Linked DNA regions of Astyanax mexicanus. The protein of the gene in region 1 interacts with the protein of each later gene in a pairwise test. Links are inferred from orthologs where the notes say so. Each region holds a gene or a part of one and is shown on either strand. Other genes may lie near its edges.

Region 1 (17,100 bases):
AGGGGAGATAAGCAGAGTACAAATAAGACGAGAAGAGATAAGAGAAAAAGAAAAGAGATAAGAAGTGAGCAGAAGAGATAAGAGGAAAAGAGAAGTGATAAAAAGAGAAGAGATCAGAGAAAAGAAGAAAGAAGAAAAGATAAGATGAAAAGAGAAGAGATACGAGGATCACAGGAAAAGAGTAGAGATAAGAGGAGAAGAGAAGAGATAAGAGGAGAAAAGATAAGGAGATAAGAAAAAAGATAAGAGGAAATAAGAAGAGATAAGAGGAGAAGAGAAGAGATAAGAGGAGAAAATAAGAGATAAGAGTAGAATAGAAGAGATAAGAGGAGAAGATAAGAAATAAGAGGAGAGATAAGAGGAGAAAAGAAGAGATAAGAGGAGAATAGAAGAGATAAGAGGAGAAGAGATAAGAGGAAAAGAGAAGAGATAAGAGGAGAAAAGAAGAGATAAGAGTAGAAGGGAAAAGATAAGAGGAGAAGAGGAGAGATAAGAGGAGAAGAGAAGAGGAGAAGAGATAAGAGGAGAAGAGAAGAGATAAGAGGAGAATATAAGAGACAAGAGAAGAGATAAGAGGAGAAGAGAAGATATAAGAGAAGAAGAGATAAGAGGAGAAGAGAAGAGATAAGAGGAGAAAAGAAGAGATAAGAGGAGAATAAAAGAGATAAGAGGAGAAAAGAAGAGATAAGAGGGGAAAGAAGAGATAAGAAGAGAAGAGACAAGAGAAGAGATAAGAGGAGAAGAGGGAGATAAGAGGAGATTAAAAAGTGATAAGTGGAGAAAGAAAGCTTTAGAATCGGCTCTAATACAGTTGTGATTTGGTTCGATTTAGGTTTTTTTTTTATATACTGAACTTTCACTATTCTACTTTACCAAAATAAACACAGTTTTTTTTAATAATATTACAGGTGTGGTCTGATTCACTGGGTTTTGCCACAAGAGGGCGTAAAAGTTTTACTCCAAAAAAGCTATATTTGGGTAGTGTTCCTCCTGGTGAGAGATGGTTAACCGTTAGGTGTTTTTATAAGGTTCTCTGTTACCTGGGCAGGTGATTCTCTGATCTTCTCAAAGCTGAAACTTCCTTATTTTTATCTCAGTTAAACTTTAATAATATCAGAAGTTATTTTGCTGCTCCTGGCGTGAGTTTGTGAGTTTGTGAGTAAGAGCTGGATGACGACAGCAGGTACGAGATGCCGGTTTGTAAACGGCAGCGGTTGAAAGTGTGACTCATATATGTGTCTGAATAAGGAGAGGGTGAGTTGTGTGCAGGCGGGAGCCGTCACACTAAAAACCTCTGAATCCAACATCTCCCCCACACTGCTGCCTCGTCCCCAACACTGCCTCGCCTCAACACCGCCTCAACACCGCTACCACACACTGCAACATCAACACATAATTAACACAGGAGAAAAGAAAAAAGGAGAAAGAGAAGAGTAGAGATATGAGGAGAAGAGAAAATTACAATATTAGAGATAAGAGGAAAAGCATAGATCAGAGAAGAGGAGATAACAGGAAAAGTAAAGAGATAAGAAGATAGGAAAATTGGAGACGAGAGGAAAAGAGAAGATAAGAGACAAGAGAAGCAATAATAAGAAAGGAAAAGAGATAAGAGTAAGCAAAATAAGAAAAGATAAAAAAAGAGATAGGAAATGAGAAGACATAAGAGGAAATGAAAAGAGGTAAAAAGAGAAGTGAAGAAAAACAAAGAGAGGAAGAGAAAAGAAGATAAGAGATAAGAGGACATGATAAAAGATTAAAGTAAAAAAGAAGAGATTAGAAAAGAGATAGGAAATATAGAAAGAAGAGATAAGAGGAGGAGATCAGAGAAAAAGAGAAGAGATAAGAGGACAAGAGAACAGATAAGAGAAGAAGAGATAAGTGGAGATAAAAAGAGAGGATGAGAAAAGATAAGAGGAAATGAGAAAAGATAAAAGGAAAAGAGATAGGAAATAAGAAGACATAAGAGGAAATGAAAAGAGGCAAAAAGAGAAGTGAAGAAAAACAAAGAGAGGAAGAGAAAAGAATGGAAGAGATAAGAGGAAATGAGAAGAGATAACAGAAAATGAAAAAAGATAAAAGTAAAAAAAGAAGAGATTAGAAAAGAGATAGGAAAAGAGAAGACATAAGAGGAAATGAAAAGAGGTAAAAAGAGAAGTGAAGAAAAACAAAGAGAGGAAGAGAAAAGAAGATAAGAGATAAGAGGACATGATAAAAGATTAAAGTAAAAAAGAAGAGATTACAACCCCTGGCAAAAAGTATGGAATCACCAGTCTTGGATGAGCACTCCTTCAGACATTTCATTCTGTAAAACAAACTCTGATCAAAAACATGATACAATAATAAGGTCATTCCAAAGTGCAACTTGTTGGCTTTCAGGAACACTCAAAGAAATGAAGAAAAAACATTGTGGAAGTCAGTGAATGTTACTTTTATTGACCAACCACAGGGAAAAAAATATGGAATCACTCAATTCTGAGGAAAAAAGTATGGAATCATGAAAAACAGATAAACAAAAGATGATTCAAAATACATCACTAGTATTTAGTTGCACCACCTTTGGCTTTTATAACGGCTTTCAGTCTCTGAGGCATGGACTTGATGAGTGACAAACAGTATTCTGCATCAATTTGGTGCCAACTCTCTTTGATAGCAGTTGCCAGATCAGCTTTGCAGGTCGGAGCCTTCTTGTGGACCATTTTTTTCAATTTCCACCACAGGTTTTCAATTGGATTGAGATCTGGACTATTTGCAGGCCATGACATCGACTGAATGTGTCTTTCTCCAAGGAATGCCTTCACAGTTTTTGCCCTATGGCACGATGCATTGTCATCTTGGAAAATTATTTCATTATCTCCAAACATCTGTTCAATTGAAGGGATGAGAAAACTGTCCAAAATGTCAATGTAAACTTGTGCATTGATAGAAGACTTAACCACAGTCATCTCCCCAGTGCCTTTGCCTGACATGCAGCCCCATATCATCAAGGACTGTGGAAATTTGGTTGTTTTCTTCAGACAGGCCTCTTCATAAATCTCACTGGAACGGCACCAAACAAAAGTTCCAGCATCATCACCTTGTCCAATGCAGATTCTTGACTCATCACTGAAGATAACTTTCATCCAGTCATCCACAGTCCATGATTGCCTCTCCTTAGCCCACTGCAGTCTTGTTCTTTTATGTTTAGGTGTCAATGATGGTTTTCTTTTAGCTTTCCTGTATTGAAATCCCATTTCCTTTAGGCGATTTCTTACGGTTCGGTCACATACATTGGCTCCAGCTTCTTCCCATTTATGCTTCATCTGTTTAGTTGTACTCTTTCGGTTTTCAAGACAAATGGCCTTAAGTTGCTTGTCTTGACGCTTTGATGTCTTTCTCGGTCTACCAGTACGCTTGGCTTTAACAACCATTCCATGCTGTTTGTATTTGGTCCATATCTTGGATACAGCTGACTGTGAACAGCCCACATCTTTAGCAACCATGCGTGAAGAGTTACCTTCTTCAAGAAGTTTCACAATCCTCTCTTTTGTTTCAAGAGACATTTCTCTTGTTGGAGCCATGGTTCTTGCCACTCTAATTCATCCAGCAGCCCTCCAAGGTGTCATGACTGCAGGTGTTTTTAACTGCAGACTAACGAGCAGATCTAATCTGAGGCAGGTGTCCATTTAGGGAAAGGAAATTGACTGAGTGTGTCCTTATTTTCTACCTTCAATTTGAGTGATTCCATACTTTTTTCCTCGGAATTGAGTGATTCCATATTTTTTTCCCCGTGGTTGGTCAATAAAAGTAACATTCACTGACTTCCACAATGTTTTTTCTTCATTTCTTTGAGTGTTCCTGAAAGCCAACAAGTTGCACTTTGGAATGACCTTATTATTGTATCATGTTTTTGATCAGAGTTTGTTTTACAGAATGAAATGTCTGAAGGAGTGCTCATCCAAGACTGGTGATTCCATACTTTTTGCCAGGGGTTGTAGAAAAGAGATAGGAGATATAAAAAGAAGAGATAAGAGGAGGAGATCAGAGAAAAAGAGATGAGATAAGAAAAAAGAGAAGAGATAAAAGGACAAGAGAACAGATAAAAGAAGAATAGATAAGTGGAGATAAAGAAGAGATAGGAGAAGAAAAGATAAAAGGAAATTAGAAAAGATAAGAGGAAAAGAGATAAGAGAAGAGAAAATGCAAAGACATAAGAGGAAATTAAAATAGGTAAGAAGAGAAGTGAAGAAAAACAAAAAGAGAAAGAGAAGAGAAGATAAGAGATAATGAGAAGAGATAACAGAAAATGAAAAAAGATTAAAGTAAAAAAGAAGAGATAAGAAAAGAGATAGGAAAGAGAAGAGAAAATGAGAAGACATAAGAGGAAATGGAAAGAGGTAAAAAGAGAAGTGAAGAAAACAAAGAGAGAAAGAGAAAAGAAGATAAGAGATAAGAGGACATGATAAAGTAAAAAAGTAAAAAAAAAAGTAAAAAAGAAGAGATTAGAAAAGAGATAGGAAATATAGAAAGAGGAGATAAGAGGAGGAGATCAGAGAAAAAGAGAAGAGATAAGAGGACAAGAGAACAGATAAGAGAAGAAGAGATAAGTGGAGATAAAAAGAGAGGATGAGAAAAGATAAGAGGAAATGAGAAAAGATAAGAGGAAAAGAGATAGGAAAGGAGAAGAGAAGAGAAAATGCAAAGACATAAGAGGAAATTAAAAGAGGTAAGAAGAGAAGTGAAGAAAAACAAAGAGAGGAAGAGAAAAGAAGATAAGAGATAACAGAAAATGAGAAAAGATAAAAGTAAAAAAGAAGTGATTAGAAAAGAGAGGAAATATGAAGAGATAAGAGGAAGCGAGAAGAGATAAGAGAAGTGAAGAAAAAAGAGAGAAAAAGAAAAGATGGGAAGAGAAGAGAAGAGATGAGATAAGAGGAAATGAAAAGATAAGAGCAACATATAATAGCTGAGTGAGGAGAAGTGATTAGAGAAAAAGAGAAGAGATACAAAGAAAAAATGAAGAAGGGAGGAGATAAGAGGAAAAAGAATAGGAAACAAAAAGAGATAAGAAGAGATAAGAGCAAAAGAGAAGAGATAAGAAGAGAAGAGATGAAAAGATGAATTGAAGAGCAAACAAAAACAGATAAGAAGAGAAAAGATAAAAAGAGAAAAGGAAAGAAGAGAAGAGATAAGAGTAAACAAAAAGAAACAAGAGGAGAAAGTGAGAGGAAAAGAGAAGAGATAAGACAAAAGAGACGGGATAAAAGGAGAAGAGACAGAAGAAGAAATAAAAGGACAAGAGAAGAGAAGAGTAAACAAGAAGAGATAAGGAAAACAGTAGAGAACAAGGGAGAAACAAATAGAGGAAAAGAAAAGATGAAAAGAGAAAAGATAAGAGAAAAAGAGAAGAATAAGAAAAGAAATGTGAGAATAAACAATAGAAATATGAGAAGAGAACAGTAAAGATAAGATAAAAGGAAGTGAGAAGATAAGAGTAACAGTTTCTGAGTTTTGGATAAAGGGTTTCAGATGGTACTTGTGGGTAGTGTCCCTCTTGGTGAGAGATCATTATCTGCTTAAAACAGCTGTAAAACAGGCCATATTTAAACTCTCAGAACTGTTACATCACAGTCCTGACTCATTATGCTCATATTGACAAATTGACAAAGCTCATCTGGTTCTTGTTTTGAAGGAGAACAGCAGCGTTTTGAGGTTCTCGATTTATCTTTTACCCCGGGTTTGCCGTATCGTATCGTACCCAATAATATCGGCAACATTTTTTAATATGGTGAACGATATTATACCCTGAAATATTGTGGAATATCGCCCACCCCTAATTATCACATCAAGATACTACTTTATTACTGTTGATGATTTTGGCTTACAGCCAATGAAAACCTAAAATTAGAATATTATATTATAAGACCAATTGGTGCTTTTGGCAGTGTGGGCAGTGTGCCAAGTCCTGCTGGAAAATGAAATCCTCATCTCCATAAAAGTTGTCAGTAGCAGAGAGAACACCAGCAGATGACATGGCTCTACAAACCATTGTGAAGATGTGGATTTCATTTTCCAGCAGGACTTGGCACTCTGCCCACACCGCCAAAAGTACCAATTGGTCTTGTATATTTTGTATTGTAATTTTCTGAGACAATGATAGTTGAAGTTTGGGTTTATTGTCCATGTCTGCACTGATGCTGATAAAAAAAATTGCCTTTAAGTCGTGAAAAAGTCATGAAAAGAACCCTTTAAAAAACAAAATCCAAATTATTTTTTAATTATTTGGCAACATTTTTTAATATGGTGAACAATAGATATTATACCCTGAAATATGGTGCCATATCTCCCACCCCTAATTACCTAATTACAACATCAGGGTTCTACTTTTTTACTGTTTTTATCAAAAGAAAAATTCACACTGTTCTCATTATTTCCCATTATATATCTACTGAAGACAGATTATATCTGTACAGTATCATTTATTTTACGTTAATCCTGGATATATGGAGATATATGGAGATATTTGGAGTGCATTATTATTATTAGTATCATGATGATTCTGGATCAATGACTTCTGTTACTGTAAATCTATAAATCTGATAAAATTCTTGTATTTTTTAAATATCTCAATTAGGGATGTGCCATATCATATCATATATCATATGTATGCAATAATACAATTTAATTTTCTTTTTGTTGCAGTAGTGTATTCTTTTTATTTATTTTATTTATTGATTTTATTTTTGTATTTTGAGTATCGTTATTGCAAAAATACCATGAAATAGCGTGATATTATTTTATTATTGTATCGCCCACCCCTATCTTTTACACAAATTAAATCTGATTACTTAACTAAACCCATATAAAGCGATTTTTAACCAGCCCTGAGTGTTGTTTATGGTTCGTGCTCTGGAATGCAGAGACCCAGAGGAGATGAATCTCCTGCAGGTGATGACGTTTGTTTGGTGTCCCTGTCTCCTGCACGTATAGACCTCCCCTATGGACTCGCGGAGTGAGACAGACGGAACAGACAGTCACCTCCACCGGGCTCATTAAAACACTATTTATATTCTCAGGACCGGAATGCTCTGACCTTTTTCATTAGCTGCGTGTCACAGCCGAGCGCAGACGCCCGAGACATGCTGTTAGACGCATTCGGCTGCATTACTCGCCATCGCCCGGATCCTGAGGAGGACTGTGGCATGCTGTATCAATCAGATACTCCCTGAATCTATCCCTAGTTCTGCGTGAGAAAATACAACTCTGGGTAAAAATAAGAGAGCACTTAAAAATTTGGATTTTCTCTGATTTTACCAAATTAAAAACCTCTGGAATAAAATCAAGAGGAAGATGGATGATCACAAACCATCAAACCACCAAACTGAACTGCTTGATTTTTTTTTTTTGCACCAGGAGCAAAGCAGCATAAAGTTATCCAAAAGCAGTGTGTAAGACTGGTGGAGGAGAACATGATGCCAAGATGCATGAAAACATATGAATTTGTTTTCTTTGCATTATTTGAGGTCTGAAAGCTCTGCATCTTTTTTTTTTGTTATTTCAGCCATTTCTCATTTTCTGCAAATAAAAAATAAATGCTCTAAATGACAATATTTTATTTGGAATTTGGGAGAAATGTTGTCTGTAGTTTATAGAATAAAACAACAATGTTCATTTTACTCAAACATAAACCTATAAATAGCAAAATCAGAGAAACTGATTCAGAAACTGAAGTGCTCTCTTCATTTTTTCCAGAGCTGTATGATACTAGTGCATCTCAAAGAATTAGAATATCTACATTGAAAAGTTACTTTATTTCAGCAATTCAGTTGAAAATGTGAAACCTATATATTATATAGATGTATTTAACACAGAGTGATCTATTTTAAACGTTTATTTATTTTATTGTTCAAAAAATCTGAAAATTAGAATATTATATAATAAAGACCAGTTGGTACTTTTGGAGCAGTGTGGGCAGTGTGCCAAGTCCTGCTGGAAAATGAAATCTGCATCTCCATAAAAGTTGTTTTCAGCAGAGGGAAGCTGTAAGATATGAAGTGCTGTAAGATTTTGTGGGAAAACAAAACTGCACTGACTTTAGACTTGATAATAAAACACAGTGGACTAACTGTGTTATATCTATATAGACTTATATATAGATATAGGGGCTCGGCTTTAATGCAAGCTTCTGATTGGCTGCAGTGTAGAGCCCCTTTCTAGAGTAAGGGTCAAAGTGTCAGTGTTGGGAAATTGTTGGCCGCAAATGGCCCGCGGGCCGTAGTTTGGACACCCCTGTCGTAGAGGAAAGTGTGAATCATCAGTTTAGCTCAAATCTAGATTAAGCTGTGATATATTGGAATTGTAATATATAAAAAATATGAATTAAACTAAATTATTTTAAACAAAGTCAACATTTTTTCAACATCATTTATGTCAGTAGGATTTACTTAATTAAGAACCTTAAAATCCTAATAGGCAATATTGATTATTAGGTTATAATAGTGATAATAGTTATTTTAGTGTTATTTTATCCTTAATTTAATGTTATTTTATCGTTACTTTAGTGTTATTTTGTTGCTATTTTAATGATATTTAAATGCTATTTTATCGTTATTTAAATGTTATTTTAGTGTTATTTTATTGTTTTAGTGTTATTTTACAGTTATTTTAGTGTTATATATCTTTATTTTAGCGTTATATAATCTTTATTTTAAAGTTATTTTATCGTCATATTATCGTTATTTTATCGTTATTTCATGGTTATATTATTGTTATTTTACTCTTAGATTATCATTATTTTATTGTTATTTTATCATAATTTTATCATTATTTTATTGTTAGATTATCGTTATTTTATAGTCGGATCATCGTAATTTTTTTCTTTCGTTATTTCACTGTTATAATTAGTGTTATTTTATCGTAATTTTATCATTAGATTATCGCTATTTTATCGCTATTTTATCGTTATATTATCTTTATTTTATTGTTATATTATCATTATTTCATGGTTATATTATTGTTATTTTATTGTTAGATTATCGTTATTTTATAGTTATTTTAGTATTCTTTTATTATTTTTTTGTTGTTATTTTATCGTTGGATCATTGTAATTTTTTTTCGTTATTTTACGTTGTAATTAGCGTTATTTTATCGTTAGATTATCGTTATTTTATCGTTATATTCCGGGCAGTGTGCTCCAGCAGCCCCGCCGCTCTCCGGCCGCTCTCCCCGGGCTGGGCGCTCCTCTCCCCGGGCTGGGCTCCGCGCGGGCCGCCGCTGTTCGCCATTGTTCAGCGGGTCTGTGAGGGAAAGCCCAGCGCGAGCCGAGGGGCACAACGTGACCTGACAACGAGGAACCTCCGGGAAAACCGTCAGCCCTAAAGTATGCGGAGAGGGGTCCACCGAGGGGGAACCGCGCGCAGCGACACGCACAGACACACACACACAGCGGCGGTTAATCCACTGTACTGTAATCAGCGCTGTAGATTTATTTTATTATTATTAATTTATTTACTGACTGTAACACAGACTGTACAGAGCAGACACTGTAAACAAGAGCAGCTCTATAACTACACCTTTTTAGTGCAGTCTTTAATAGTGATGATTTGGCAAAATGCCATTTAAACTAAAGTTAGAGACAGTCAAGACAGTCTAGTTAGTTGAAATAATAAATTAAATATGTACATTTTATCTCTACGGTGTAATCAGCTTTATTAAAAATATGTTGCAACTTATCTTTCCAAAAAATCTAAATACCAACATTAAAAAAAAAATAAATACAAATAAATGTCCTGTTCTATGTCTGTTTTATAAATGTTCTATTAAATTTTTAGATTGTTTTTTATTGTTAGACTAACCTTATATTATTATTAGATTTGCATTACTTTATCATTATTTTATCACTAGATTAGTTTTTTCACCGCTATTTTATTGTTAGAATAGTGTTATTTTATCCTTAGATCACTGTTTTTTATTATTAGATTAGTGTTATTTCATTATTATTATTTTATTGATTTATTGTTTGATTATCAGTTTTTATCATATAATTACCGTTTTATATCATTAGATTACTGTTTTTTATTGTTATATTATAATTATTTTATTTTTATAAAAAAAATACATATTTTTGGATTAGCATTATTTTTGCATTATTTTATCGCAAGATCAGCATTATTTTATCGTTAGTTTACCATTTTTTTATTGTTAGATTAGCCTTATTAATTGTTACCATTTTTTATCACTATAGTTATTTTTGCAATATTTTATCGCAAGATTAGCATTATTAAATTATTATATTACCATCTTTGGTACATCTTTGTTTTATATATTATTATTATTATTATTATTATTATTAATTACAGTTCTGTTTTACTTCAGTTTTATAACATTTGCGTTGATTGAAGGATGTGTTTTATCTGTTTGGGGTTAATGTAATGCTGTCGGTGTTGTCGGCCGTCGCGGGCCCCCCCCGCGGTCGCTTCCCCCGGTCAGGGGGCGGAGACGGGACCCCCGCTGACGTCAGAGGGCCTGTCGGTTTCCTGCAATAGAAAGTGAGCGAGGGTAAAAAAAAAAAAACAGAGCTTCCCTGCGCTGGATGTGTTTATGATACAGGTACGTGTTCCCTCAGCGCGCGCGGGCACCTGTACGCACCTGGCGCCTGCGAGCACGCACACAGGTAAACAGGTAAACCGCGAGCTTGTTAGTACGCTAGAGTGACGTAACGCGCCGCCCGTGGTTCGTGGTGCTGGCGGCGGCGGCTCGTGTGTGTTTGTGCGCCCGCTCCGCCGTTGAAAACGCGCAGTGTTTGTTTTACGTTATTAACGCGCGCTTAACGTTTTCCCGGTACCGCGCTCCGGGGGGTTCGGCGGTGGCCAGGTGAGGGCTGGCGCGCGCTCCCGAACCCGGGCCGTGTTTTGTGGCTCACCGGAACGCCTCCGTTTCCTCTGTTTTGGAGTAGACGTCTGCAGCATGTTAATGTGCTCTGTGTGTGTGTGTGTGTAATGTTTATCAAGCCTGCAGCAGAGCTCGCGAGCTGTTGAAGAAGACACCCTGATGACGGTAGATAGATAGGTAAGCTAAGCTCGTGATTAACGCGGAACGCAGCGCGCGGACGGCGTTTATACGTGGTTTTGGTCGGTAGGGAGGAAGCGTGTTTTCGGCGTCCTGTTGCGGAGGACTCGCAGGGGTTTTCCCGGCTCCTCCCTCCACCACCTCCTCCTCCTCCTCCTCCTCCTCTACCGCCGCCGCTGCTCCACCCGGTCATGCCTTTCTGTCTGCATGTATGTTCACTCAGAACGTTTACACTGTTGCAGTAGCGCGAGACACTGTTACAGGGGGTTGCTACGTTGTTGCACTAGCTCGTTACACTGTTAGCAGGGCTTGATACAGTGCTCCAGTGGGTGGAAACATTGTTGCAGGGGGGAGTGTACACTGGGACACTGTTACTCTGGGTGGCTACAGTGTTCCATGGGCTTGATGCACTGTTACAGGGTTTGCTACATTGTTAAATTAGATCAATAAACTGTTACAGGGGTTGCTACATTGTTAAATTAGATCAATAAACTGTTACAGGGTTTGCTACATTGTTAAATTAGATCAATAAACTGTTACAGGGGGTTGCTACATTGTTAAATTAGATCAATAAACTGTTACAGGGGGTTGCTACATTGTTAAATTAGATCAATAAACTGTTACAGGGGGTTGCTACATTGTTAAATTAGATCAATAAACTGTTACAGGGGGTTGTTACATTGTTAAATTAGATCAATAAACTGTTACAGGGGGTTGCTACATTGTTAAATTAGATCAATAAACTGTTACAGGGGGTTGCTACATTGTTAAATTAGATCAATAAACTGTTACAGGGGTTGCTACATTGTTAAATTAGATAAATAAACTGTTACAGGGTTTGCTACATTATTAAATTAGATCAATAAACTGTTACAGGGTTTGCTACATTATTAAATTAGATAAATAAACTGTTACAGGGTTTGCTACATTGTTACACTAGCTCGTTACACTGTTAGCAGGGCTTGATACAGTGCTCCAGTGGGTGGAAACATTGTTGCAGGGGGGAGTGTACACTGGTGCATTGTTACTCTGGGTTGCTACAGTGTTTCATGAGCTTGATACATTGTTACAGGCAGTTGCTACACTGTTGCACTAGCTCAGGACACTGTTAGCAGGGCTTGATACAGTGCTTCAGTGCGTGGAAACATTGTTGCAGGGGCAGTGTACACTGTTACTCTGGGTTGCTACAGTGAGCTTGATACACTGTTACAGGAGTTGCTACATTGTTAAATTAAAGCAACCAATAAACCGATAGCAGGGCCTGATAAAGTGCTCCAGGGGGTTGAAACAATGTTGCAGTAGCTTGATATGTTGTTGCAGACGCATGGTACATTGTTAGAAGGGGTTGCTACATTGTTTCACTTGCTCAGTACACTTTTAGCATGGCTTAATATAGTGCTCCAGTGGAAACACTGTTGCAGGAGCATGGCACGTTGTTGCTCTGAGTTGCTACTGTGTTTCATGGGCTTGATACACTGTTACAGGGGTTGCTATATTGTTACATTAGCTCGCTACACTGTCAGCAGGGTTTGATACAGTGCTACAGGGGGTTGGAACACTGTTGCAGTAGCTTGAAATGTTGTTGCAGGGTCATGCTACACTGTTACAGGGGTGGAAACATTGTTGCAGGGGCTGATGCACTGTTACAGGGGTTGCTACATTGTTACACTAGCTCGATGCTCTATTACTCTGGGTTGAAACACTGTTGCTGAAACTCTATATTAGTGCAGGGGCATGGCACACTTTTACAGAGGTTGCTACATTGTTACACTAGCTTGATAAACTGTTACAGGGTTTGCTACATTGTTGCAGATGCTTTGTACACTGTTACTCTGGGTTGCTACGGTATTCTATGAGCTTTATACATTGTTAAAGGCATTTGCTACAGTGTTATGGGGGTTTATACATTGTTGCAGATGCATGATACACTCTTACAGGTGGTTGATACACTTACCATGGCTCGATGCACAGAAGCTCAATACACTGTAACTTTTGGTTGAAAAACTGTTACAGGGGTTTGCTACATTGTTGCAGATGGCAGATACACTGTCCCCATGGCTTAAAACATTGTTATATGGGTTGCTAAATTGTTACACTAGCTTGATACACTGTTACCAGGGCATTTCTACACTGTTACAGTGGCTTGCTAGCTACATGCCTGGTTCATAGGGCTTGAAACACTGTTACTCTAGGTTGATAAAGTTTAATGCATTGTCTCATGCAGTTGCTACATTGTTACACTAGTCGATATACTGTTACCAGGGCTTGATACACAGTTATTCTGGGTTGAAACACTGTTACAGGGTTTGCTACGTTGTTACACTAGCTTGATACACTGTTTCCAGAACTTGAAACACTGTTACAGATAGTGCTAAATTGTACCAAGCCCTGGTAACAGTATATCGAGCTAGTGTAAAACTGTTACAGGGGGTTGCTACTTTGTTTCACTAAGTTGATACACTGTTATCAGGGCTTGATACAGTGTTCCTGGGTTTGCTCTATTTTTTTGCAGACAATTGATACACTGTTACTCTGGTTTGCTACATACACTGATGCTCACATACACTGGATTACACTGTTACAGTAGTTTGCTACATTTGTCCAGGGGGTTGATAAACTGTTACAGGTAATTAATAAACCACAGGGGTAACTCGTTACATTGTATTTTCCCCAGTTTCCCCACAGTGAAGATTTATAACAGATTTTCTTATCTTATTTGTTATAGGAGTTTGATAACGCTGCGTTGTTTGTGGGGGTTGATGCACACATTTATTTATAATTTTATGTACTAGAGTGTGTCTAACCTTTTGAGGTTGCGTGCACATGTGGTGCCTCCTAGCAGCAGCAGTATCAGCAGCAGCGCAGCGTGCATGCATGCTAGTGTGCATGCTAGCTGTGTGATCTAGCCAGCTAATCGTACAGCTGACATGCACAAGCTGTAGCCTATGCAAAACGTGCATGCATGCACAGGAGCATGCACAGGAGCATGCTCGTGCATCCCTGTATTTACGTGTGTGAGGGGTGCAGGAGGGTGACGTCATTGCTGTAGCATTGCACATGCCCCGTGCACTCATAGTAACTACAGTATTATGTAATATGTGTAGAGGAGGCTGCGTGGTGCAGGATGGCGTTTTTTGGGCGAGGCGGTGGGCGAGCAGCAGCAGTGAGCCCCCCTCTCGCGCTCCCTCTCATTCTTTTGCTTTTCTTTCTCTCGAGCTCTCCTTTTCTCTGCTTGTAGATAAGGCAATAGATGTGCACCAAACATGCAGCTCCAAAAACAAAGCCAAACATTTTATTGTATATACACATAGCTCCACTGATTGTATATATTTTACACTGTAGTTATATATAATAATTACAGACTGTAGTTCTGTATGTGTTTCACTGTATATTTTATTATTACCCTCCTCCTTTTACCTTATTAATATTATTATTATTATTATTTGGGTTGTGGGTGGTTATTCTCAGCACTGCAGTGATTAGCACTGATTAGCATGGTGGTGGTGTTTAGGGCTGGGTATCGCAAAAAAAAAAAACAAATTTGATACTGATACGGTACCTTGAAACACTGTTGTAAGGTTTGCTCCATTGTTACACTAGCTCAATACGCTGTTACTCTGGGTTGCTACATTGTTACACTAGATTGATACACTGTTACTCTGGGTTGCTACATTGTTACATTATCTTGATACACTGTTACACTGGGTTGCTACATTGTTGCTCCTGCTTGATACACTGTTACTCTGGGTTGCTACATTGTTACATTATCTTGATACACTGTTACACTGGGTTGATACACTGTTACACTAGCTCAATACACTGTTACTCTGGGTTGCTACATTGTTACACTAGCTCGATACACTGTTACTCTGGGTTGCTACATTGTTACATTATCTTGATACACTGTTACACTGGGTTGATACACTGTTACACTAGCTCAATACGCTGTTACTCTGGGTTGCTACATTGTTACACTAGCTTGATACACTGTTACTCTGGGTTGCTACATTGTTACACTAGCTCGATACACTGTTACTCTGGGTTGCTACATTGTTGCTCCTGCTTGATACACTGTTACTCTGGGTTGCTACATTGTTACACTAGCTTGATACACTGTTACTCTGGGTTGCTACATTGTTACACTAGATTGATACACTGTTACTCTGGGTTGCTACGTTGTTACATTAGCTCGATACACTGTTACTCTGGGTTGCTACATTGTTACACTAGCTCGATACACTGTTACTCTGGGTTGCTACATTGTTACATTATCTTGATACACTGTTACACTGGGTTGATACTGTTACACTAGCTCAATACGCTGTTACTCTGGGTTGCTACATTGTTACACTAGCTCGATACACTGTTACTCTGGGTTGCTACATTGTTGCTCCTGCTTGATACACTGTTACTCTGGGTTGCTACATTGTTACATTATCTTGATACACTGTTACACTGGGTTGATACACTGTTACACTAGCTTGATACACTGTTACACTGGGTTGATACACTGTTACACTAGCTTGATACACTGTTACTCTGGGTTGCTACATTGTTACACTAGCTTGATACACTGTTACTCTGGGTTGCTACATTGTTACACTAGCTTGATACACTGTTACTCTGGGTTGCTACATTGTTACACTAGCTTGATACACTGTTACTCTGGGTTGCTACATTGTTACACTAGATTGATACACTGTTACTCTGGGTTGCTACATTGTTACACTAGATTGATACACTGTTACTCTGGGTTGCTACATTGTTACACTAGCTTGATACACTGTTACTCTGGGTTGCTACATTGTTACACTAGATTGATACACTGTTACTCTGGGTTGCTACATTGTTACACTAGATTGATACACTGTTACTCTGGGTTGCTACATTGTTACACTAGCTTGATACACTGTTACTCTGGGTTGCTACATTGTTACACTAGATTGATACACTGTTACTCTGGGTTGCTACATTGTTACATTATCTTGATACACTGTTACACTGGGTTGATACACTGTTACACTAGCTTGATACACTGTTACTCTGGGTTGAAACATTGTTACAGGGTGTTGCTTCATTGTTGCAGACAGTATATACACTGTTCCAATGGCTTAAAACACTGTTATAATGTTTGCTACATTGTTACACTGGCTTGATACACTGTTACAAAAGCTTGGTTCAGTGTTCCAGGGCATTGAAACACTGTTACAGTGGTTAGTTAGTTACATACAATGTTACTCTAGGTTGATACACAGGTCCTTAAAAAGTCTTAAATTAAATTTTGGATAATTAAGGTTTTAAGGTATTGTAGGTATTTTTTATCGTAGGTTTTTTAATTCCGGTGGGAAAGCACATATTTACATGAGCGTCAAGTTACTGGGGAGAGTAATAAGGTAGGCGTAGACCTAGCTAACATTAGCGGTAAGCTAGCTTATGTTACTGGGAAGAGAACTAAGTTTAGTGGAGAGCTAGCTAACTATGGCTGCAAGCTAGCTAATGAGCTAATGTTACTGGGGGAGTACTAAGGAGAGTACTAACATTAGCAGTGAGCTAGCTAACATACAATATTAGCGACAAGTTAGCTACATTAACGGGTCAAGAACTAGGATAAGAGCTAGCTAACATTAGCTGCAAGCTAGCTAATGTTACTAGGGGGAGAACTAAGGTTAGCGGAGTTAACATTAGCAGCGAGCTAGCTAACATACAAATGTTAGCGACAAGTTAGCTACATTAATGGGGAGAGAACAAGGGTTAGTGGAGAGCTAGCTAACATTAGCTGCAAGCTAGCTAATGAGCTAATGTTACTGGGGGGGTACTAAGGAGAGTACTAACATTAGCAGCGAGCTAGCTAACATACAAATGTTAGCAACAAGTTAGCTACATTAATGGGGCGAGAACTAGGGTTAGAGTTAGCTAACATTAGCTGCAAGCTAGCTAATGTTACTAAGGAGAGAACTAAGTTTAGCGGAGTTAACATTAGCAGCGAGCTATCTAACATACGAATGTTAGCGAAAAGTTAGCTACATTAACGGGGTGAGAACAAGGGTTAGGAGAGAG
Region 2 (17,546 bases), on another chromosome or scaffold:
TCCGGAGGAACGTCGATGGTCACTTTGCTCTGCTGCTCTCCAACCGTGAAGTGCAGAGACACCAGGCCTGGCCGCTGCTGGCTGCCCCGGATGTCCACCACCATGCTCGAGTCAATCTTGAGCCCTCCGCTCATTTCTGCACTTCGAACAAAGTCCTGAGTCTGCAGGTCCTCCACGCGCTTCAGCTCGCCCGTAGCCAGCTGGATGATAGCCCCCTTCGTGAAGTGTGAGGGGCCGGTGGTGGCACCAGGAGGCAGCGGAGGTTGTGTTGCAAGAGTCTGCGGCAAACCTGCCACTGATCCGACTGCAGGATGTTGGGAAGGCAGCTCCACCGCAGCAGCTGCTGCCGCTGCAGCCGCCGCCGCAGCTGCTGCCGCTGCAACCGCCGCCCGCTCTGGGAGCCCAACTGTAGCCGCAGCATCTGAGGCTTTGGAGTGCAACACCGGAGAGGCAACAGTGGCTGCAGAATCATTAGGCTGCCCTGGATAGTGCTGCTGCTGCTGCTGCTGCTGCTGATGATGCTGCTGCTGATGGTGGTGATGGTGATGATGATAATCCAGGGGCACCAGAACCGGCTGTCCGTTTGCCAAGATCACAGCATGGCCAGGCTGTTGATGAAGTTGGGCTCGAGGGTCCAGCTGGACAGTGGCCTGTGAAGCATATGCAGTCCTGCCCTCCCCCTGAACCTCTCGGCTTCGCTGTGAATTCTGGGACGCCTCTCTGCGACCGTGGACCGGCGAGGCTAACCGCCCCACCACCTGCTGGACCTGCAAAAAATATATATACACATATATAAATGAATTACTATTAGAACTTTCTGATGTTTTTAAGCAGACAAATTACTTTTCACAACAATCTATCTTTGCAGAAATGTGAAATATTTTTTTATATTTAGAAGCATTTTTTATTTTTTTAAGAAATTAAAAAAAAAAAGTTAATGCTTCGTATGACACATATGCAATAAAATATGACAGATACAGATACAGTAACAAAACATAATAATAATCCCCCGATTTATCCCGAATCCATGTTTCACACCCTGATCAAGACTATCCAATCTTTGACCTGAAGATATCTGAAAAAAAATGATTTACAGGTATAGTATATTTCTGTCCCAGAAATAATTGGGACAGAGATAATGTCATCAGCTCCAGCAGCTGATGGCAAGCTGCATGACCAGGATTCAAACCAGTGATCGACTGGACATAGTAGCAGCGCTTTAGAGCACTGGACCCTTTTGATAATAATATAGTAGTATAATAGTGCCCTTTTTAAGATAATGAGTTCATTTCATTATTAAGAATATTGAGACACTTCAATTAGAACATGAAACATCTCTAAATATCTATAAATAAGTAAATAAAATATAATAAATATAAGTAAATATAATAAATATAAGTAAATAAAAAATAAAACTAATCTCAATCAGGTTAATGGGCTATCTTATGGAAATATACACATACATGGCACAATGGGAGAACAATTATGTCCAAATAATGTACGATAAATTGGCAGACCTCATTTTTAAGGAGCACTCCTCCAAAATAAAGCTTTTCCACTTTATTTAAGATGAATACAAGTTTAGAATTCACTACAGTACAGATTACAGGCAGATTTATGATCTCTCCCCTCTAACTCTACTAGAGTACTACTTCCTGCTCACATCCGATTCCCTATGGCAGTTTAAACCCACAATAAATCAGAAAAAGCTATCTCTGACCATTTCTAAGAAGTTAGCGTCTGACTGCCTGTTACTCAATCACCAACACAGCCAAACTACAGCTAATACAGGAAGGAAGTGGAGTACAACACCGCATGCTGCAATACTGATTTAAAGGAATGGGGTTAAAACTGTTAAGAAAAGGTGGCAGAGACTCTCATTAACTAATGTTGAATGAAGACATGTGGTTTGATATAAATAAAGAATTTCTCACAGTTTTAACCAATAAATGAGCATGTTGTAAACGTATTATTCCTGCCTTATGGTGATAATACCATCTGCACACTAAACAACAGCATCCCGTGGTGTGAAACTTGTGACTGATACACTCATACCAGTCATGCCATTACCAGGTCAATGATGATGGCAAATTGAGAACGGAAGTGGGGTCAAAAAACACAGATGTTTAGGAAACCATCCATCTCAAGCCATTGGTTCTCAAAATGATCTAAAGAAACCTACTGAAAGGCCAGATTTTGATTTATCAGAATTGATCAGAATTTGGATTTTTAAAGAATAAGAAATGAACACACTGCAAAATACAGCAATATCACATAATTATGGAGCTAAATATTGACCAATGCTTTGAAAAACCTTTTAAACATGTTTTATAGAACACCAAAACGGTGAAATAAATGTATTTAATTCATTCAAACATTGGAGACAAGTTTGAGAACCAATGCTTTCTAGACATTCCTAAAATGTTTTTTAAAACACCAAGAAGTCACAGAATCTTTTGGTGCTCCTGCCATAGCAAAAAATTGTGGACCTAGAATGATTTGGATGTTTTTCGTTGATTGCACTCAATGGTCACAAAATATTGAACCATCAAACACTTCACATCACTGAAACCCAACAAAGGAAACAGAAACTAAAATATAGCTATTAATATAGCTTAAAATTAAAAGTATTCATAATCTCATGGCTAACAGGAAAATGGCAGTAAAAAGGGGGAAAAGCAGTTTAATTACTTTAATTTCAATGGAAACAATGGTATATTAAAAGAGTTTATCCTGGTTTTGTTGCAGTAACTGTCTCTAATGTCCATTGAAGACTACATTTCATTATTAAAGGCATTGCTGTGAATCAGGGCTGCAAATATTGAATATGTTAGTAATCAAGTATTCTACTGAAAATTCATTTGATTAATCCAGTAATTGGATATAACATTTTCGGTTTCCTTTTTTAGAACTGTAATAAATGGTGTTGTCACAATACCACACAATTATGACTTAATACCAATAGTGAAACATACATTAACTGAAACTATGTGTTTCATCATATGGATAAAAAGAAGTTAGACGACACAGAGCTTGCCTCAGACACTGGATTATACTTCGGAACGTGGGTTTGTGCTGAAGTACAGCAGTAAACCAGTCGCAGAAATTTACTGTGAATCCGACTGTTTTACAAACGGTAGGATTTCTTTCCAGACATTAAGCTGTTATTAAGCTTCATGATGATTGATAAGGATGGTCCACCACCTCAATTATTCTTAAACTTTTTTTTCTCCACAGGGAGTACACTTTAAGCGTGTTAAGGGGGTATTTGCATCTGTGTTAGCAGTAATGCATGCAGATTGAAGTTGCTGAACTGCTGCATCTATTAGACAGGGTGTCCACAAACACTTGAACATTTGAACATTCAGTGTTTTTTTTTTTAATTTAAAATAAAAGAAACTAAGCGAGGACTGTCTTACCTCCAGGTCCATGTCTGGGGTGCTGCGCTGCCCAGGCGAGCCTCTGCCCTCCTGCCTGCGACTCTTCAGGCCCCTGTCCTGCTGGGGTTCGAGTGCAGCCGCTCCGGGCGCTGCCTGAGGCGGCCGTGCGTTCCTGACCGTGTAAACCGCGTCTTGGTGGAGTTCCCTGCCTCCGTGTTCCCTCTCTCCTCCATTCACCTCTCTCTCCTGCTCCAGCGAACCACCATGGGGGTCCCTCTGAAGCTGCACAGCTCTGGCACTGCCAGAGGGGTGGTAGAACATGGGCACTCCCCTCGGACTGAGCTCCGCTGCCGGCAGCATCCCTACTGCGCTTAGCTGCTGCTGCTGCTGTGTTGCGGCCTGTTCTGAAGACAGCACCAGAGGAACTCCTCCTCCAGGGGGTGCCGCCACTTTGGCGTAGGCGTGGGTAGACACCTGCTGCTGCGGGGGCGAGGAGACCACGCCCTCCTGGATCACTGAGGGGTAGGGGACCAGGTGGGAGACGGGGTGTGGCTGGGGGATTGCGGACTGAGGGGATATTAAGGGGCTGGGGACAAAACCTGGTGGTACAGCGTAGGGAACGGCGGTGGCGTAAGGTGAACTGACGAACTGTAAAGAGGAGTGCGGGATGGGGGTGTAGCCGAGAGGGGGGTAGGGGATGCCTGGATGCTGCAGGAGCGGAGATGGAATGGTGTAAGCAGCAGGAGATATGTGCACAGGGTGGAGGCTGGTTGGAGAATAGCTGACAGAGGGGAGGGCCACTTTGTAGAGCATGCTGTACTGATCCACAGGCAGCCCAGCTAGGCTTTCTGGTCCTTCCACACTGTAGTGGAGCCCAGGCTGAGTCCGAACCCACTCACCACTACTCTGGGGTTCTCCACCTGTTCCAGAGCTCTGTGAGGATGGGGCATCCTCGCTGCTGCCACCACTGCCACCACCACTGTTGCTGCTGCCACCTCCTCCTCCTCCACCACCACTGCTGCCTCCAACCCCGCTACCTCCTGCATTATTACTACTACTGCTGCTGCTGTTGTTGGATGTGGTGGTGGTAGTATTGGTGTTGGTGGCATTGTTAACCGGAAGGTCCCGCTTCTTCGGAGGTAGGCACTCCTGGTTGCGCTCGTGGGCCGGCTTCATGGCGCTCCAGGCTAGGTACGGGCGATGCTAGTGGCAAGCAGGGGCGAGGCCCGACAGCCGCACAGACAGCACCCCTGTAATCAGCTCTGAGAAGCTCCTGCTGACCTCGTCCATTGCATTATCTAAACATAATAAACACACAAACAAAAGCCTATAAATGGTTTATTACATCATAACCATCATACTTATGATAATAGTGGCAGCAACCTAGATCTCTAATGGCTTTTTCCCCACTTGTCTACTTTACTACACAATTACATTAAAACCAGAAAAGGCTGGGCAATATTGTTAAAACAATGCCAAACTTTTGTGGATGATATATTGGCACTGAAATGATTGCGATTAACAATATAATTGCAATTTTGCAAAGTCTATTAAATGCCACTAAAATACTGATAATGAAATAGCATAACAAAACAACTACATTCTTTTAAAAAGAACACATTTGCAAGTAACATTTCCAATTCTCGATTACGACTTTCATTCTCATGTAACAACTAAAAAAAGATCATTTTATTCGTACATTGAATGAATGAATGAATGAAGTTATATTTAAGGATGTTATTTAATAGTTATTAAATGATTATATTTATTGAATGATTATAATTTTTAACTGAAAGGATATAAACATCCAGAATAAGTGGGTGACATCTTCCCAAATTGCTCCTATCACACTCACATGACTTTCTAGAAACCCTTATTTTGAAGTGTCAAAACCATGCAAGTAAGTATATATTTAAACAATTTTAAGCAGAGACATTATATTACAGTTAAATATTAGGAAAAGTGAAAAATATTAAAATCACTGCCTATTTTTTTTTTATACATACCATATTTTTCGGACTATACAGCGCACTTAAAATCCTTTAATTTTTTCCAAAAATCGACAGTGCACCTTATAATTTGGTACACATTTATTATAAATTCTACCAGTCAGGTATTAAGGAGCAGTAAAGCCACTTCACTGAAGTCCAGCATTATAAGGGTGAGATTTCAGAAACTTCACTAAAAATGCACCCTTAGACAAAATATTGGAAATCTATGCGCCATGTAATTATGAATGATAATATACCAGAAAATAGACCAGAAAACAGACGTTCCAATAATAGTATGCCTTATATTTTGGTGCGCCTTATAATCTGAAAAATACGATACACATATTTACAGGTTTCTGACAAAAGCACAACCCTATCTACTGAGATTCCCTCTGGCAGCTTATATATATATATATATATATATATATGTCAAAATGTACAATCCCCATTGTCTTTTTTGGAATCTGCATTAAAAAGTACCTCAATTAACAGAATTAATTCAATTACCTGCCCAGCGCTATACATAATACTGCAGCAGCTTAGTTCCCTAATGGCTTTTTCTCACTGCTACACAGAAAAACAATCTTACACAATTACATTAAATCCAGACCCACCACATTTTGTTTCAATACGCCCGTCACACTATATTTACACTGCTAACGGAGCACCATACCATACTGAAACAGGGCACGCTGTGAAGAAGCCGCAACCAAGTATCATAGCAACAAGAGAATTTCAACCTCAAATATTACGACTCAGGATATATTTTGCTCATCCTAATTGCATTGCCTTGTCACATGATGTTTTCACGATGCCCAGATTTAATCAAGATGTGAATAAAACGAGGCATTAAGCAAGAATTGGTCAGAGGCTTGGCGCACATGGCCCTTTTCTTTCTGCCACCTCACACTCAATGTTTGTTCATCCTCAGAACCTCAGAATGCGTTTCTAAGGTTAAACATTAAAAATTATTAACTTCTGATAAGCTGATATATATATATATGGCAAATTTCAGCTCAAATCTGTTAATATGATAATGTTCAACTAAATGAGGAAACCTGGACTTGAAGGTTTTTAACCAAGCATTAAAAACATTACAATATATTGTACAATACAAGATATACAGTACCAGTCAAACGATTGGACACACCTTATCAACAGCCTGTCAAGAGTTAACTACTTGAATTTCTTGCCTCTTATTGCATTTGAGAGCATCAGTTGTAAAGTTGTGAAGAGGTATAGTTGATATACAGTGCATATGGCTATTTGAGTAATGATATAATCCATTTTCTGACATTTTTAAAGAAAAAAACAGTTTGTTTAAGTAATTAAGGTCAGTGTGTGGAATTTACACAAGTTTAGGTTTCAAAATTACTTGTGGAAAAGCACTTTTTAATGGATGGTCATGTCTGCCAAGGGCCAATACCATTCCTGTGTTTAAAGCTGTTGGAGAAATTTTACTCTTCTATATTGTCTATATTGCTCTAACCTGGCAGAGACAGAGCTAGTGCTGCCGCTGCTGGAAACATGAATGAGCAATGTTGCAAAAAATATATATAATTATACATTATATATTTATAATTATAACGTGCCTTTTTTCTAATTATTGATCTGTACATATTTAAGATATTAGCGGTTTATCTTAAGGTAATGTTTAAGTTCCCTTCATGGTCAGTTATTCATTTACAATGTACAAAAAATAAAAGAAAACATTAAAGGAATGTCAAAACTTTTGACTAATAATTTGTAATTTGTAAATTGTAATGTGTAAACAAACTGTGTGAACATACACTTACATTTACGGCATTTAGCTAACACTTTTATTCAAAAGGACTTATGAGATTATTTCTATTACAGAAGTGGACCAATGGAGTGTTTGTTAGGAGTCTTGCCCAAGGACTCTTACTGGTGTAGCACCGCATTCAATCACCCAGACCAGGATTTAACCCCAATCTCCCAGTCCACTTAGATAAACTACCCAACTAAGTATAACAAAAAAATACTTTGAGAAACAAAGGCCCGACAATCTGAGAAATTTCAAGAACTTTGAAAAACCATCAAACGTTATGATGAAACTGGCTCTCATCAGGACCGCCACAGAAAATGAAGACCAATACTTTTATCTTAAGCACAGGATAAGATTATTTTGGTTTGTTTTAAACACTTTTTGGTTTACTAGATAAATGAATAACTCCTTATGTATTCCTTCATAGTCTACATGGATTATTTCAGCTTTTATTCGCAATGTAAAGATAAATATAAATTATTAAAAACATAAAACATTTGTATTAATTTGTAAATAGGTTAGGTTAGCTAACCGGATAAATAGCACAGGAAACATTTAGCTAGACTTAGTAAACAATAAAAATTCTCAATACTTTAGCTCTACACTGATTAATCACTCATTTCTGTTACTTATAGCATAAAGAGTAACAGGAGTGAGTGCCAGTAACAGGTAACAGAACTGTAACCTGTTTTTTTCCAATTCTGTTTGTTTTGTCATGTATCTATTTGTTAAATAAATTGCATGATAATACATTTGATTAATTTGAGGTTTGGGTCTTCTTGAAAAGATAAAAATAGCTTTGTATATTTTAGAAAAATACAATGTGCATGTATATATATGAATTTGTTTGTCAAAAGTATCAATTATTTGAACATGCAGTCAACTATTTCTTTAAATTAAAGACTTTTTGAGAGAAAACATGCTTTTTAAATGTCACATAAGTTTAATTTGAAAGGGTTTCAACAAGCAAATGGCACCCATTTGGCGAAATAGCCCATAAAGTAATTAAATATTTAAATATTTGTATAAATTTGTAAATATGAGTAAATGAAGCCAGTTAACCCAATGCTAGGTTAAATTAGCCAGGTTAGCTAACAGCATAGATAGCACAGGAAACCTTTAACTAGCCTTCATAAACAGTACAAATCCTAAATACTACAGCCATACACTGATTAATTACACATTAATCTTAAACAGAAATATATATTTATTCTCTAAAACACTGAATTATTAACTCCAAAAGCCTGAAATTAAAGCTAAACCCTCTCTAAACTATAAAATCTCACTGCTGGACATTACCGAGGGGCTCCGCGCGAGCCCTACCGTTAGCCGCCCGCTGCTAACGCGGCTAACCGCCTCTCCCCCGCCGCGGAGAGCCGTTTCCCGCCGGTACCGCGCCGCGTCCCCCGCCCTCACTTACCCCCGCATGTGGTGGAGCGGCCCGCGGTCCGGCTGCATGCTGTGGGGGAGTCCCGATGATAGAGCCGCGCTGAATCAGGGCTGCGGATCTCTGCCCAGTCCACAGGCCAGCGGCCCAAACCCCAGCGGCGCGCCCGGATGATGTCAGGACAGCAGGGCTGCGCTGAGCTCCGGGAGCCGCGCGGTGCAGATTCACAGATCTACAGATAATCCGGATCGGAAACCCGCTTCACCATCTAATGCGCATTCTGTATAGTAATCTGATTTAGGAGTTTACAACAGCGTGCGGCTCAGGGAAAGTCCAATGGGGGTCTCCGGCTTCTGACCTCAGCGCTAATCCAAACACACGCACGCACGCACACACACACACGCGATAATTCGTGAGTACGACCTCGCTGCTAAACTATCCAGTAAAAAAAAAGCTGGTCATCCAGACAAACATACTCTAACTAGTCAAGATTTGTTCTCTATCTTTATTTTTTTAAGAGTGGAAACAAGATAACTAAGTCGTGGGGACGACATATAAGCCCAGGACTTAATTATCTTGTTTCCAACCTATAGTAAGCTATATATTTTAAATCCTTTTCTTTAGCAGGGATCTATGGAAACCCCCACAGGTGACATAATGTAAAAAAATAAATAATGCGTGGCCACTTCTATTTAAGGTGTGGGAACAGAATAATTAAGTCGTGGGGAAGACTTATATGGCCAGGACTTCGTTTCCACACCTTAAAATTCAATACGTTTCCATGCCCTATTAATACTTTTTTCTGCTTCTGTGTGCTTTGTTTTCACTGCTGCTGTAACACTATAGATTGCCCCTTATCTTATTTGTTCTTTATCTTATATAAATATATAAAATATATATAATATATGTCATAGATTTTAGCTCATTGTCTTAGCAGCCCATGCTATACTTTCTCTCTGCTTCTGTGTGCTTTGTTTTTACTGCTGCTGTAACACTGTAGATTACCCTGCTGTAGGGCTAATAAAGGATTGTATTATTTGATCTTTATCTTACATAAATATAAGTCGTAGCGTGTGTTTATAGCTTATATTCTTAGCAGCGATCTATAGAGCCTGTGATGGGACATCATATAAAAAAATCTGTAATGCATGGCCAAAGATTCTCAAATACATACGTAAATACATTAGTAAATTCACACCTTTTTGTATCTAGTACGGTTTGAACAGGTAACTAGGTAGTTCATCGGTTAAAATAGCTAAATACGTAGCTATATACACATTTATTTTTTTTATTTTTAGCTGCTAAAACCACGTAAACCCAGTGAAATATCCCCAGAAGTGAAATATCCCCAAAATATAAAGAATTAGCCAATTCTTTACATTTAAATGTTAAAGCTTAATCTGAAGTCTTAATCGCGATTAATCACATAATGTCGTTACGATTAATTCGATTATTTGTTTTTATTAATCGACTAACACCACCAGGAGCGTGCCCCTCCGCGCCTGTAGGTGGCGGTGTGTCTGCGGGCTGTCTTCTCTCTCCACCAATCAGAGCCGGCTTTCCCTGCTGTTGTCAGAGTACAGTACAGTGTGTGGGCAGCGCTCTCCGGACCAGAGGAACAGAATTAGAGAGCGGGTTCTGACGGACAGCGGGTTTTTTAATCCGGCGTTTTATTAAACACACCGCAGATTTACAGCATGTCTGAGACCGAGCCCAAATCAGCGCAGGACCTGACCGTGGTGGTGAGTGCGGCTTTACTGCGCAGGCGCACAGGGCTGCGGGGATTCCGCCGCTTCTGGGGATATTTTACTGGGTTTACTGGGTTTTAGCATCTGAAAATAAAGAAATAAATATCTGTATAGCTTCTTATTTAGCTATTTTAACTGATAAACTACCTAGTATCTTGTTCAAACCGTCCTAGATACAGTATAGTGCCTATTTACTAATGTATTCACCTAAATAAAACAGTAAATGTGGATATTCTGATATAATAAAAGCTTTAATAAGCTATTATTTTAGTCCAAAATGATTCCAGCGATGGTGACACCAGTTCAAACTCAGATTATATTGTTTAAAATCTATTTCTAGGTGTCAATAATGCAGTAAAGTGTTTACTAGTAGAAACTGTCTTATATGGCTTATATATCATATATGAAATTTGTACCAGCAATGAAATCAGACTAGTTTACCTACAGTACATTACCAGAATCACATGATATCTGGGATGTAATGTTGCTTTTTTTACTATTTAAAACGATTAAAAACTGCATTTGCAGGTATCTAATTAATAATTACTTTTAACTAATATAAAATGTATTATAAATTTAGTCTGACTAGTACTGAAATGCTAATTCAAGATCTGTAATGTAGACTAGGTGCATTTAGAATATGTGTAGTTTTAATATTAAAAATATAAAAAATGTAAGGGATGCACGATGATATCTCTTTATCTATATTACATCGTATCAGTCATTATGGCCAATATTTCAAATTGATACTTGAGATAATATAAGCCTTTATTAATCCCACAGCAGGGGAAATTTGAGGTGTTACAGAATCACAGAGGACAGAACAGAAGTGGGTACCACTTTAAAATAAGACTACCTTTTTAAAGGGTTTATAAATGGTTTACAGTTAGTTTATTAATGGTTACTAATTAGGTTGTAAATGCCTTAAAAATCATTAATAATCAGTTATAACACATACGTAGAAAGGGCAACTATATAGATGTTGTGGGTTCACTATTTTGCAAACAACAGGTCATTGTTGCCCTTCCTAAGTATGTGTTATAACTGATTATTAATGATTTTTAAGGCATTTACAACCTAATTAGTAACTATTAATAAACTAATTGTAAACCATTTATAAACCCTTTATAAAGGTAGTCTTATTTTAAAGTGGTACCCTGAAGTGTTAGGGAATATATATCAATATAAAAAAATATATAATATATATACATATATATGTATATATACACTAACTACAAGAGAATGAAACAATACTAAAAAAAATGTGATCTAGAAAAGCTAAGATAAGAGGAAGCCTGGTTCCCCAGTATATCTTATAGTAAGCAGTGATCACTGTTATTTTTTGCACATAGGCTGACAGTAATAAATGACAATTAAATAGTAAATAAATGATGATATTGCACATGATATTGTTGGTAAAGAGATTATGCAACATATGGATAATGTAGCTATTTCACATTGTAGAGCACTAGAGCAGTAGTAAGTAAATAATTTAGGAAGTCTAATACTTTCTACTTAGAGTAGGACAACTTTAAAATCCATTTGTTTAAGCTCATTTTTATTTATTTTTTATCAATTATAAAGTTATACCGGGGTCTAGTCTAGTTTCTCTGTAAGTAATAAGTTTGTGTATCTGCATATATGTACTTGTGTTATCAGCATCAGACCAGAATTCCAACATCGGCGCATGCCTAAAACATATATAAATATACACTTACAATCTGCTTTTTTGAAGTATTAAAAACTGTGTCAGAAAGATCTGTAATTTAATAGGAATTTTTAATGGTAAACGTAGGGCTTGTGAGGCTGGTGTTAGTTAAGGTTAAAAAAGGGTTGTTTTAAAAAGCACCATAACATAGAATGTTTGAAATTCAGTCATTTAAAATCATAGATCATTGCTTTAATATTAATAAACCTAAGGAATCAGCTCAGCAGCATGTTCTGCCGGGTCGCACAACTGGACACAACACCAGGGTGGCTTCTCGTCTCCACGGAGACGTGTGTTTGGACGGTAGAATGGAGGAAGCTGTATCTTAGTTACCATTTTAAATGAATGAAGTTCCAGTTGCTATGCAGTGTATTTGAGTTTAACTCGCCCGGTCTCTATTTGTTCTGTTTGTTCGCCTAAAATACCTCGTTTCCATGGTTTCAGCTGCAGCGTGGGCGCGTGGCATGACTTTACACTGCTTTGATCTATCCTGTACTGCGGGCAGCCATGGCGACCCTGGACACCCACACACACACTCAGTGTGAGGGAGTTGTGCGTGCCTGCTGTTCGTGACTTTAACCGGCGTCGTGTTACGCTGAGTTGTCCTAGAGAGGCCATTCATACATTTTCTCTTTCTGTGACTCTCTGTGTCTCTCTTTAGGTGCAGACTTTGCTGCAGCAGATGCAGGACAAGTTCCAGACCATGTCAGACCAGATCATCGGAAGGAATATCCTGCTTTAATTTTATTACTAGAGATTTGTGTTCTGTAGGACTAGTAAACCTCTAGAGTTAGGGCCTGAATTAAAAGCATATATGGAAGTATAAATGGTCACACACACTGAGAGGCACCAAGGTTTGTGTGTTTCTTACATTGTGTATATTTGGTACGATTAATATTGGTTTTTACACTACAATTTAGTCAGTGGACTATTAAACGTTACTACATCCTGTCATCATCAGCTACATGGGCACAATCTCTCAGTCAGATTTATGAGGTTGAGTCACCTGGAATGGCTTTAAGTTCCCTGGTAAAAAATGAATATACTTAACTGTACATAAAACATATTAAGAAATGTATAAGTATGCTGTAAATATACTAACAGATGTATGTACTTACTTCAATTTGATTAAAAGTAATATTATGTTTTATTAAATGTTTAAAAGTAAACTTTGATCATACTTTTTAAAAAGTACAATAAAAAAATCATGTACAGTTCAATGTAATTCAGTATACTTCTTAAATACTAAATACTTATTTCCCAATATACGTTTGTACTTTTTTTTTTAGCAAAGTGTGTTAAAAACGACTATTACAGTAGTTTAATTAATGTACAATGTATCATGTAACTTTTTCAAAAAGTTAATTAAATTACTACATTTAAAATATATATATTTAAAAAAAAGTATATTTGTAACAAGCTAAACATTACAGTACAGTATATTCAAATATATTTTTATACCTAATAAAGGATACTACAAGTGTGCTATTACGAAAGACAGGAACAAGAAACATATTTGTACTCAGTACATTTCTAATATACTTGCTGTATAGTAATAGTGATACAGTTGTAATACACATTAAATGTATTATAATTTTACTGTAAGCATATTTAAAATATGAATATGGGGTCACATACATGAAGTAGTTTAAATGTTTAAATGTTACTTAAGTATATTTAAAATAGTTCCATTTTAGTACAGTTAAGTACACTTAGCACAATTTAAGTAAGACCTTAGTACTATTTTTATATAATTAAAGTATAATAAGTACAAAAAAGTTGTTCCATTTTAGCACTCTTTAAATATACTGGTTAATAATAATGTAGCTACAAAAACACTATAGTGCACTATAGCATAATAATGATTAGTATACTTTAATCTACTTTTTATTCATTAGGGTTAACAGCTGTGCTGAACCCATCAAGAGTTAATTACTTGAATTTCTTGTCTCTTAATAAAGTGTTTGAGAGCATCAGTTAAAGTAAAGTAGTGAAGAGGTAGAGTTACAGGTATACAGTGAATACTGAATATTTGAGTAATGTTCTAATCCAGATTATGAGAAGCAAGAAATACTCAAATAAAAGACCATTAAAAAACATTATGATGAAACTGGCACTCATCAGGACCACCCCATGAAAGAAAGCGCAAGGGTTACCTCTATTGCACAGGATGAGTTTATCAGAGTTACCAGCCTCAGAAACCACAAGTTAACAGCTCCCCAGATAAGAGCACCTAAATTATGTATTTTTAGTTTGTTTAACACTTTTAAGTTACTACATGATTCCTTATGTTTTCCTTCATAGTCTGGATCAGTTCATTAACAAATAGAAATGACAAAAAATGTTTTGAAAAGTTACTTTATTTCAGTAATTCAGTTCAAAATGTGAAACTCATATATTATATAGATGTATTAAACACAGAGTGATCTATTTTAAGCCTTTATTTCTTTTATTGTTGATGATTATGGCTTGGATGGTTTGGAGAGTCATGTCTGTCATCTGCTGGTGTTGATCCACTGTGTTTTATTATCAAGTCTAAAGTCAGTGCAGTTTTGTTTTCCCACAAAATCTTACAGCACTTCATATCTTACAGCTTCCCTCTGCTACTGACAACTTTTATAGAGATGCGTGGATTTCATTTTCCAGCAGGACTTGGCACAATGCCCACACTGCTAAAAGTACCAGTTGGTCTTATATCATATTCTAATTTTCTGATAGACTGATTTTTGGGTTTCATTGGCTGTAAGCCATAATCATCAATAATAAAATAAATAAGGGCTTAAAATATATCACTCTTTGTGTTTAATACATCTATATAATATATGAGTTTCACATTTTTAACTTAATTACTGAAATAAAGCAACTTTTCAAAGATATTCAATTTTTTTACCTGTATATAAAGGTAAAATGCAATAATAAGTTAACGGAATGAAACAGCAGAATAATACATATAAAATAAAATTCTAAAAATAAGTACAATTATAAAATTGTTTTATCTTAATCTAAATAGTTATCTGCCAAATGAATCTTTGCATTTCCTGCCATATGCACTTTATCACTATTTGGGTTTAAATACCGTATATGAGATGTTCTCCTTAATGCTCACACTCGATGAGATGAGCACACGGATCGATGACCTGGAGAAGAACATCTCTGACCTCATGACTCAGGCAGGAGTGGAGGAGTATGAGGGGGAGAATAAAGTCAGTGACGCATCGGGAACAGCTTGATAAAGGTTTGGAATTGATGCTGAATTGAATTGTTTTCTTTAGACTGTAAATTTAGCTGACTTTTTTATTAATTAATTTATTTTCTTTTCAGTTCGCCAGGAACACAGAGGAACCTACCTTTTCCATAGGCGTGGCAAAGTTCTCTAATTATAATGGTCTGTATGTATGTACTGTATGTTTGTATGTATGTGTGTGTGTGTGTGTGTGTGTGTATTTTTATTTTTTATGTTTTTTTTTGGGGGGGTGGGTGGGGGAAAGAAGGGGTTATGTATGCCATATGTGTAAATAGCGTTTGATATGGATTATAATGCTATCATAATGCTATGATTTTGTTTAATGCTGCACTAAAATTAGTTTTTCTTTTTCTTTTTTTTTTTTTAACTAAAAACCTCTACAGTGTAGGATCACCTAACCCCCCGCCTTCAGACCTTTACTCAGACAGCAGTGGGTTTTACACCTCCAGCCTGTTAAACTGCTCATTTAAATCATGTTAGTAGCCACATTACACCAGAGGAAATACTGCATGAATCTTTCTGTAGTGGAAGGTGAAAAAATGGAAGCATGGAATGGAGTTATTTTACACTATTTTACACTTATTCATTTATTTTACATTCTTAGCACAGAATGGCATAGTTACAGACAGCTTTCTTCAACAGCAATAACATGGTGTTTATGTAATGGAGTTTGCAGGGTTTGGGCAGGAAAGCACTGACCAATTAAACATCTATAACTATGCAAACATATATAGTGACTAATTCCATTAAAAATGTGTTTATGTTGCATTTCAGTCCAGAGGTGAAACATTTTGAACTGGTTAGTTAGTGGACCTGGGCATGGGAGTGATAGAAGTCATAAAAAATGGTTCAGAATAAAACATAAAGAACTATTCTAAATATTACTGTAATTTCAAAACACTATATATATGGTGGTATATGAGGTGTTAGTGTGTGTTGTGCTGGTGTCAAGGTATAAGTGACAAGGTATAAATACTCCATAAGAAAGAGCTAGCGCTTAAAGCAGTTAGCAGCTAATGCTAATGCTGCTCCAGCAGTGCTAGCCGGGGTTAGCAGCAAGCTACAGTCTGATATACTCGCCTTTGAACAGCAAAAGAGCTAGCGCTGACCTAATGCTAGTACTTCTGGAGAGACTTCACTGAAAACTCTAACCCGTATAACGCTGTACTTCAGCGAAGTGGATTTACTGCTCCTTAATACCTGACTTGTAGAATTCATACATAAGACACACCAGATTATAAAGCACACTGTCAATTTTAAGTGCACCTTATAGTGTAAAAAAATACGCTATTTACATTGTACTAAAATACAGGGTTTGGACAATGAAACTGAAAAACCTGTCATTTTAGTGTGGGAGGATTCATGGATAAATTGGAGCAGCCTGGTGGCCAATCTTCATTAATTGCACATTGCACCAGTAAGAGCAGAGTGTGAAGGTTCAATTAGCAGGGTAAGAGCACAGTTCTGCTCTAAATATTACAATGCACACAACATTATGGGTGACATAGCAGAGATCAAAAGAGGAGAAATTGTTGGTGCACGTCTTGCTGACGCATCTGTGACCAAGACAGCAAGACTTTGTGATGCATCAAGAGCCACGGTATCCAGGGTAATGTCAGCATACCACCAAGAAGGACCACCCACATCCAACAGGATTAACTGTGGACGCTGTAAGAGGAAGCTGTCTGAAAGGGATGTTCGGGTGCCAACCCGGATTGTATCCAAAAAACATAAAACCACGGCTGATCAAATCACGGCAGAATTCAATGTGCACCTCAACTCTCCTGTTTCCACCAGAACTGTCCGTCACCACAATCAATTATTGTGCTCTAAAACCAGGTGTTTCAGTTTCATTGTCCAACCCCTGTACATATGCAGCTGAAAGAGGGAGCCGAGAGCATCCCAAATATATCAATGTTAACATTTTATTGTATTGTTAATGTCATTATGGCTTTTAGAAAAATGTGGCCTAAGCTTTTATTTTTAATGGCATTTTCCCCTTTATATTACTTTTACTTTTATACTTTAGGTAGTTTTGAAACCAGTACTTTTACACTTTAACTTAAAAAGTAAAAAGCTTTAAGTAATAATCGAGTAATAGAGTGGAGGACAGTGAATGATTAAACACAGTGTTTAAAAACTCCAGCAGCACTGCTGTATCTGATTCACTCGCTGTAACAGCACAACACACACTAACACTAATTACTACAGACTACAGTCTGTAATTATTATAGAACTACACAGTATTAAATGTGATCAGTGGAGATATATTGTCATATGTTTCATTAACATACAGCCTGGA

The links.
Region 2: the proteins of hivep1 (region 1) and atxn1l interact in a two-hybrid assay, tested with the Homo sapiens proteins (2 studies listed by BioGRID). The link is inferred for Astyanax mexicanus from reciprocal best matches to the Homo sapiens genes HIVEP1 and ATXN1L.

What each region holds. Positions count from the first base shown.
Region 1 is NC_064410.1:63,696,930-63,714,029, forward strand, and holds the start of hivep1 (zinc finger protein 40), read left to right. Parts: upstream 1-10,503; 5' UTR 10,504-10,584; exon of another isoform or gene 10,585-10,648; intron 10,649-10,860; exon of another isoform or gene 10,861-11,043; intron 11,044-17,100.
Region 2 is NC_064423.1:38,558,267-38,575,812, forward strand, and holds the start of atxn1l (ataxin-1-like), read right to left. Parts: upstream 8,931-17,546; 5' UTR 8,578-8,930; intron 4,679-8,577; 5' UTR 4,557-4,678; coding exon 3,420-4,556; intron 768-3,419; coding exon 1-767. Other genes in the region: hsbp1a (heat shock factor-binding protein 1a), read left to right, coding at 10,242-10,286, 12,662-12,728, 15,109-15,230. UniProt on the Homo sapiens protein: Chromatin-binding factor that repress Notch signaling in the absence of Notch intracellular domain by acting as a CBF1 corepressor. Binds to the HEY promoter and might assist, along with NCOR2, RBPJ-mediated repression.